Callithrix jacchus: one gene and its partner. The protein of the gene in region 2 binds, or shares a complex with, the protein of the main gene of each other region. Links are inferred from orthologs where the notes say so. Each region holds a gene or a part of one and is shown on either strand. Other genes may lie near its edges.

Region 1 (3,204 bases), about 20 Mb from region 2:
ATTTTTAATATGCAAGTTAAATAACTATTTCAATCATTTAATAGCAACCAGTCTGATACCCACTTCTAGAAGGACTGGCCTATGTCACAGTACTTTCCTTCCTACCCCACCTGGGGGTGCAGTGGAGTTCTTGGCTGCCCAGCCAGCTGGCCCTGCAGGTGCTGGGGCCTCAGCAGCACAGGCTAGAGAAAGCCCCCTGTACCCCCCAAACCTCCAGTCGGAATCCCAGTCTAAGCCACTGATGGGGCTTTCTGAGAGTTAAGAAGACAGACACCACAGCCAAGTGGAATACAAAAATAGAGCCTCTCTTTTGTTTAAAAAAAAAAAAAAAAAAAAAAACAGCAAAAACCCAACAGCAAACAATATCCACAACCGGAACCCAGGGCTCCCCCAGCCCCACCCCGGCCTGCAGCAGCACAGGGCTCCTCTGGCTTGAGTTTTGGGTGCCCATCAGGGTGCGCCTCTCTGTGGTCTGGCGCTGGGGGAGGGCCGAGCAGCACCTATCGGGGCTCGGGGGCCCAAGTCCTCTGGCTGCCACGCAGGCTGCGCGTGAAGGGCGGGTAGTTGAGGAACTCGAAGCGCAGGCTCTGCTCAGTGGTGTGGTGGCCTCGGGGCAGCCGCTTCATGAAGTGGACCTCGCGCTGGTGCTGCCGCGTCTTGGAGCCCTTGCGGGGCCGGCCCTTGCGGGTGAAGGCCATGTACCAGCCCTCGTACTTGGCATTCTGCAGGGCGGTGTAGTTGTTCTCCAGCACGATCTCCGTGAAGACGCAGTCCTTGCCTTTGCCGTTGCTCTGCAGGTAGGGGAGCCAGACACCACGTTACAGAGCCCACCCCCGCCCCCGCAGAGGCAGAGGGCAAGCAGCTCCAGACAGCAGGTGGGCACCCCAGCAGATGGCGAGGTGGGCAGGAGCCGCAGCCCCACCCCCTGCCCGGGCACCCGCTCTCTAATCCCTCACAACCCGCAGCCCACCCGGCAACTTCCTGTCCCCCCAGGCAGCAGTGACACATGGTTGTCTACGGAGGGGCTGGGCCCCAACTCACAGAAGCAGAGAGAGGGGCCCAGAGCCTGCCTGCTCTGGCCTCCTGCCCACCAGTCTGGCCACCCGTCTCCCCACCTGCCCCTCTCATCCCCTCAGGACTTTGGCTCCCTGGCCCTAGGGCAGCCACCCTATGGGGGAGGGGAGGCCTGGGAGGAGACGCTAAGACCCCATCCCCAGAAGCCCAGGAAGCGGGGCGCTCGAGGCTGGAGAGGAGCCGTGACTAATGGGGCCATTTTAGAGCTCGGCCGAGGGGCCGGGCGTGCGGCTTACTGAACATTCCAAATGCTGGTACCATGTAATTGGACATAATAGCAAAGCAATTTGGCGATTTGTTAAAAAGATATATGGAATTTACCAACCCCCCCAGTCCCTTCCCTAGCCTTCGTTCTTCCTCCTTTGCCTTTATAGCTTTTCATCTCTCACCCTCGCCCCTGCACCCCATCACGAGGTAACCCCAAGACAGCCCTGTGTCCCTCTGGCCACCCTGTTGGGATCAGAGCACAGGACTGTCCTGGAGGAGTCCAGCCAGCCCAAGCCACCCCCCAGGTCCCGGCAAACCACACCTGCCTGCCAGGGCCTCACCTTGGCAATCAGCTTCCCCTTCTTGTTCATGCAGATGTAGAGGCCTGTCTCGGCTCCTCGGACTCGAACTCTGCTTCCAAAGGTGTCCGTCTCCACGATGAGCTTTGCTGTCAGAGAAGGTAAGAGGATGGTTATTGGCAGATCCCTAACCCCAGCTGGCCCACATGCTTGTCACAGCCCAGCAGCAACTGCTCCAAAGAGCAGGAACCCAAAACGTGGACTTCGGCTCCAGCCCAGCTACTACTATGCTGTGCAACCCAGAGAAAGGGCAAGGTGATTTTCTGGACCTCAGGTCCCACCCTTGGGTTTACAGAGGGCAGTGGATGGGATCATGATTTTCCCCAAATTGGGTTCTCAAGAGAGGTCTTGGGACCATCAGATTGCAAAAGCTAAAGTGCTATTCCTTCCACCCTCTTTTTAAACCAGACAGTGATGTCTCTTAGATTGAGGCTCCAAGTAAAATTTAATTTGATCAGAGTTCCATGGCTAATCAAAAGACCTCCGAGGAGCCTCCAACTCCGAATATTATGTGCAGGTGCCTCAGAGGTCAATACAAACATCTGGGTGAGTGGTGACCTCCAGTCCCAAGGCCAGAGATAAAAGCATTCTCTCCTGTTCCTGCCAGTTTGGGTTCTAACTCATAGCTTCGGCCACCCCCAGCCCCTGAACCCCGCCAGGCTCTGCTCTGCTGAGAACGTGCTAGGGGTGGAGACAGCTCCCCATAAACACACGGCCCAAAGCAGGGTGCTTTCCCAGAACCTCAGACACCTGCCAGGAGGATCCTGCCTCTTCCCTGTGGCTTCCCAGTCACAAGGGTCCCCAACCCCAGTGTCCAGAAATCAACAACTCAATTGTTTTTTCTCTCTTTTCTCTTTCAGCCTCATCACAGCTGGGCTTCTCACCCCAGTGACCAAATACCTTTGGTGGGTGACGAGGAGGGAGAATCGGACCGCTAGCCTCTTAGTCTGGAGGTCAGGAAGCAAGGCTGAATTCTGTGCCTCCTTCCCCAGTCCCTTCCCCTTAGACAGCCAACTTGCCACAAAAGCCTGTCCCGTTCACGTAGCTATGCAAACCTCTCTTACAGGCTGTCCCCAAGAAAGTAGTGAGGCTGACTCCACTGTTTGGGAAGGGACAGAGGTGCTGGCTCTCCTGCCCTCCCTGTCGCAGAGCCTAGCCTCTCTGCTCCTTGAGAAAGCAGTTCTGGGATTTAGCCTGCATTGACACATGGTACCTCCTCTGTCCCTGAAACCCATGGCAGGGGTTGGGGGCATTGAGGTCAGCAAGGTAGCCATCACTGCCCAGCCTGTAACTTCCCCCCACTTCACATAGATGCTATGCTGGGACCCATTGGCCAAGCCCCCAGTCTGGCCCCAAGTCAGCAGAGGAAATGCAGCTGTCACCTCCCTGCGCACCCACCTCCTCCTGGACCTAACCAGTCTCATCCCTCTCCTGCGTTGCCTTCCACAGCAAGAAGTGGCTATTTTTAAGGGCCAGCCAGGAAGGCTGCTGACTGGAGAAGGAGTGAGAGGATGCCACTCTGGGGATTCTGGCCAGATGCGGCAGGCAGGGGTGAAGGAGGTGC
Region 2 (4,102 bases):
GCATTTCCAGAATGCAGGGGAATTTTCTACCTTTAACACGACTTCAGGAACAATCCTGAGTCCTGGCAGAGGTTTCGCCCCAGGCTCCTTCCCCAGCCTCCTCGCCCACCTGTCCATGCCAGAGGAACCTTGTTAGCTTCAGGCAGAGAAAGGTGGACAGGGCCGTCCACTGAATCTCAAGCCATTCCAACATCCCGCTAGCCCGCACTGGAGATTTGCATTTCAGCCATTTCCAGGTCCAAGCTCCACAGCAGCCCCCTCCCCAAACCTCTGGAAGGTGGAGACCTAAGGCGACAGGTCTTCACAGTTCCTCACCGAGTGGACAAAAGTATGGTACGACCTCCTAGGCAGGATAATTAGGTCCCCAGGCTCGGTGTTGGGAACACAGGCCCAGCATGCCGCTGGCGGCCACAATCCCGGCTTCCTGCCTTCAATACCATAATCCTTCCTGGAGTCTGAGCCCCAGTGAAAGCCCCAGCGTGTTTATTTTTCCCCTTGAAAGGGAACTCTCTTCTCAGCCCGCACGCGGGAGGCGTTGTCACCCTCCCTCTGATGGATGGCTCTTCTCGGCCGCCCGCCCCCCACCCTCCCTCCACCCCGTCCATTTTCACCTCGGCACAAGCCTGCCCCCAAAGACAGGCAGAGTGACAAGCAGGAAGGGCTTGGCTGCGGAGTGGTCCCCATGCCAGGCCTGTGCTGCACTCTTCAATTTTACCATATTTCCAAAATCCCGACCCTCTAAGAAGGCAGGCCAGTACAGAGCCCTCCGCTTTGGGCTTCCACGTAAGAGGTGATAGGTCCACTGCTGGCTCGGCCACAGGGAACACTGCTGTTTTGTTCCTGGGTAGATTTCACATCAGGAAAGTCACAGTGCCCGGCTCCTCCAAAGCGCAGACCCATCTCTTCGCTTAAGGCCTCCCTACCTCTTCCCAGCTGAGGAGGAAAGGGAGCTGTCAAGGGGTCAAGTCTAGGGGAGAAATTCCTCAACAAATCGAAATCTCAAAAATCACAAACTGGGCCAGGACCCCAATACCCTCCCAGTTTCATGCTTGCGTCCAATCAGAACTCGCAGGCAGCTTGGGGGTGCTCCCCACCACCACCCCTTTCGGGACAGCACTTCTTTCATTTGTTTGCCCGAAATATCCTGTTTTTCTCCCCCTTCTCGGGGCGCTAAAGAGCTCAGAGAAATCTGCATTTTAATTGACATTCCAGGGAGAGGGAGAGGGGCGCCTGATTGCTTTTCTATTCAAACTAAACAGGCTTTTCAGATGAAAATGAGTCGAGGCCGGTGGAAGATTTACACGGATTTGGGACCCGGGGACAATGAAGTTTTAAATGTTGATAGCATTTCACACCAAACACATAATGGGTGCCCTGAGTTTCAAAGCAGGTTTGCCTTTAACGGTAGGTTTGATTGAATTGGGAGAAAGGAAAGAAGGTCTGGAGAACGGTTTGCAAGGGAGCGGGCTGTGAGGGGAGCGACCGAGGCTAGTGGCCCCCGGGCCGGCCTCCTGCGCCAGGTCCGCGGGCCGCGAGGGTCGGAGCCAGCGCCACGCAGGGCCCTCGGCTGATTTCCCCAGCGCGGCCCAGTCGCCGAAAGAATGAGCGCGCAAGTTAGAACTCGCCTGCGCTTTCGACATCTCCCAGCCGCTGCGGCAGAGCAGGCAGGCGAACTAGAAAAAGTCGGTCCAGTTCGCCCCCTAGCCCCAGGCGCGCTGCGCTCCCTCCAGCGCCTACAGCGGCTGCGGGCTAGGGGCGCCCAGGCATCGAAAACCGGGCACCGGAGCCGCCGCCTCCCCAACAGTGCCACGCCTGGCCATCACCACCCCTACGGGATGTCAGCGGCCCCACCCCAGCTGCCCCCTCCCGAGACAGGGGTCTCCGCGGGGCCTGGATGGTACGGAAGCTCCCAGGACCCGCGGATGGGGCACCTCGGAGATGCTCCGCGGGACCCGGGCTGCGGGGCTGTGCCATCGGCAGGCGAACCCTCCGCCCGTCTGCTCTGGGGTTGGAGGAACGCGCCCAGCCAGAGGGAAAGCGCCCGCCAGGGTTTGACAGGGAGGGGGGCGTCTGCACCAGAGGCAGATGTCAGCATCTGGATGAAGGTGGCAAAGGCAGAACTTCCCCAACAAGGGCCGTCAGCACGCACCCACCTCCCCATCACCTATGCAGCCACCTAGGAAGGCCAGGGGGCGTCCCCCACAATGCCAGTCCTTCCGCGCCCCCCGCCCGGAGGACGCTGCACCCGACGTCCCGGGCTCCCTTGGCGCTCACTTCCCCCGCTGGCGGAGAAGCTCCCAGAGGCGTCTTCCGCGGCGATTACCTTGAATGGCAACGCTCCTCCGCGATCTGTGTTGTCCCCGCGCCCCGCGTGGGTCGGGATGGAGAAAGCGACGAGCCCGGGGTTGCGGGGAGCAACTCCAAAAGCAGAAGAGGGATCCCCAGGTCTTCGCCCGCGCCAAGGCTCCCGGACTTCACGCGCACCACAGGCTGCGGAGGAGCGCGGGCATGACGCTTGCGGGCTGCCCTCGGATTTGGGGAGCCACAGGAAGAAAGGACTCAGGCTTGGCGTTGCCTCCACCAAACTTTGCTCGCGAGTTGCGAAGGCTCAGAGCGCGCAGGCAAGCTGCGGCCTCTGGGCCCCCGGGGCGCGCGGCCGGCCCCCGCCAGCCCGGAGAGCAGTCCCCGCGCCTGGCCAGGTACGCCGCATGCAGCCCCGCGGCGCCCGAGCTTTGTGGCTGCCGCGCGCGCTCGCTCGTCCGCTCCGCACCCACCGCCCGCCCGCTCGGCTCTCCACCGCGCTCTCCTGCGGCCGCCGCCCGCGCCGCCGCCGCCGCCTCCTCCCGGCGGGTCACGCCCCCGCTGAAACCCGAGCCGTTTCCTGGACGGCGGCGCCCGCTCTGCCAATCAGCGCCGCGCACCCGGGCCGCCCCGAGCCCCGCGCGGCTCACGACGCCTCCGAGCCCTCGCCCGAGACACGGGCCGGGGAGGCGAGGGCCCAGCCGCGATCCGGCCGTGGGGATGCAGCGACAGCCTCCGAATAAGGCCTGGTCCCGCGCCCCGCGCGACCTCCTCCCTCTTCCTCGGGCGAGCGCGGCTGGCCAGCGGCTCCCGGAGCGGCCGCGTTAAGTACAAGTGACCGAAGGCTCTAACCCTGCCCACCCCCTAAAGAGACTTTAAAATGGGTCTGCTTTTGGTACTGCGGGGAGGGTTGTCAGGCAACTGAAGCTTTCGGAGGAGAGGAAGCAGCCTGGAAATGTTCGCAGGACATTGCATTTTTCTGTCTTTCTAAACAACAGAAATGAGAGGAAAAAACTGAATATTAATGGGGGCCCTACTATGGGCGGGTCACACTACATAGGTGATTCTATTTCGCCTGCCCAACCACCCTGCAGAGTAATATTCCCAGTTTCTGATAAGGAAACTGAAGATCAGAGATGTTCAGTAATTTGCCTAGGATCACACAGCTGGCTATTGAGAGAGCCTGACTTTGAATGTGGCTCTCTCAGAAAAAGCCAAAAATTGCATTCAAAAAAATAAGTGTTTAGTAGTATATGTTTGGATTAATTAAAAGAAATTCAAAGAAGTCTAAAGATTCAACTCTGCCATAAGTAGCTGATCTTGAGCAAGCTAATTCCTCCCTCTGAATCCTAGATTCAAAATCATAAATGCAAAATCTGATTCTTCAAGTCCACACCAAGCTGTAACTGGCTAAAGTTCCTATTTCCATTTACCCTTTTCCCTAAGCCGTGTCTTCGGATTCATTCATTTTAAATATGCTTTTTCTTCCTCCTTATTCATCCAGCTCCAGAGCAGCCGTGCTCGGTTCAAGACGGTATAGATTAAAACCTTAATTATTTTTCTTTAGAAAAGGTCACTAAACCCAGAAATGCTTTAGAATCCTTTTGAGGCCTGAAGATAGATGAAGCATTGAGAACAAACCTGACTTGGAAAACAGACTTTTCCTGCCCTTAGAAACATATTTGCACCTGCGTCACTAGCATTGCATACTTCCTAACATTTACAAAAATTTTTTTTCAAGGTGCCACATGATTAGAAAATCATTTTTATTCACAGTATAGCACAGAAAACATTGATGCGA

Evidence for each region.
Region 1: the proteins of FGFR2 (region 2) and FGF8 are in contact, whole or in part, in a crystal structure (PDB 2FDB), measured with the Homo sapiens proteins. The link is inferred for Callithrix jacchus from reciprocal best matches to the Homo sapiens genes FGFR2 and FGF8. Residues at the interface, in NP_000132.3 of Homo sapiens: Glu160, Lys161, Glu163, Lys164, Leu166, His167, Ala168, Val169, Pro170, Asn173, Asp247, Val249, Arg251, Ser252, Ser282, Asp283, Ala284, Gln285, Pro286, His287, Ile288, Gln289, Ile291, His293, Leu309, Val311, Leu312, Lys313, Ala314, Ala315; in NP_149354.1 of Homo sapiens: His53, Val54, Gln57, Asp62, Leu64, Ser65, Arg66, Leu68, Ile69, Arg70, Tyr72, Tyr75, Arg77, Gly80, His82, Val106, Glu107, Thr108, Thr110, Phe111, Gly112, Ser113, Val115, Thr148, Glu149, Ile150, Val151, Leu152, Glu153, Asn154.

The regions. Positions count from the first base shown.
Region 1 is NC_133513.1:94,723,846-94,727,049, forward strand, and holds the end of FGF8 (fibroblast growth factor 8), read right to left. Parts: intron 2,594-3,204; exon of another isoform or gene 2,501-2,593; intron 1,742-2,500; exon of another isoform or gene 1,730-1,741; coding exon 1,623-1,729; intron 798-1,622; exon of another isoform or gene 792-797; coding exon 501-791; downstream 1-500. UniProt on the Homo sapiens protein: Plays an important role in the regulation of embryonic development, cell proliferation, cell differentiation and cell migration. Required for normal brain, eye, ear and limb development during embryogenesis.
Region 2 is NC_133513.1:115,006,272-115,010,373, forward strand, and holds the start of FGFR2 (fibroblast growth factor receptor 2), read right to left. Parts: upstream 2,801-4,102; 5' UTR 2,324-2,800; intron 1,002-2,323; exon of another isoform or gene 612-1,001; intron 458-611; exon of another isoform or gene 31-457; intron 1-30. UniProt on the Homo sapiens protein: Tyrosine-protein kinase that acts as a cell-surface receptor for fibroblast growth factors and plays an essential role in the regulation of cell proliferation, differentiation, migration and apoptosis, and in the regulation of embryonic development.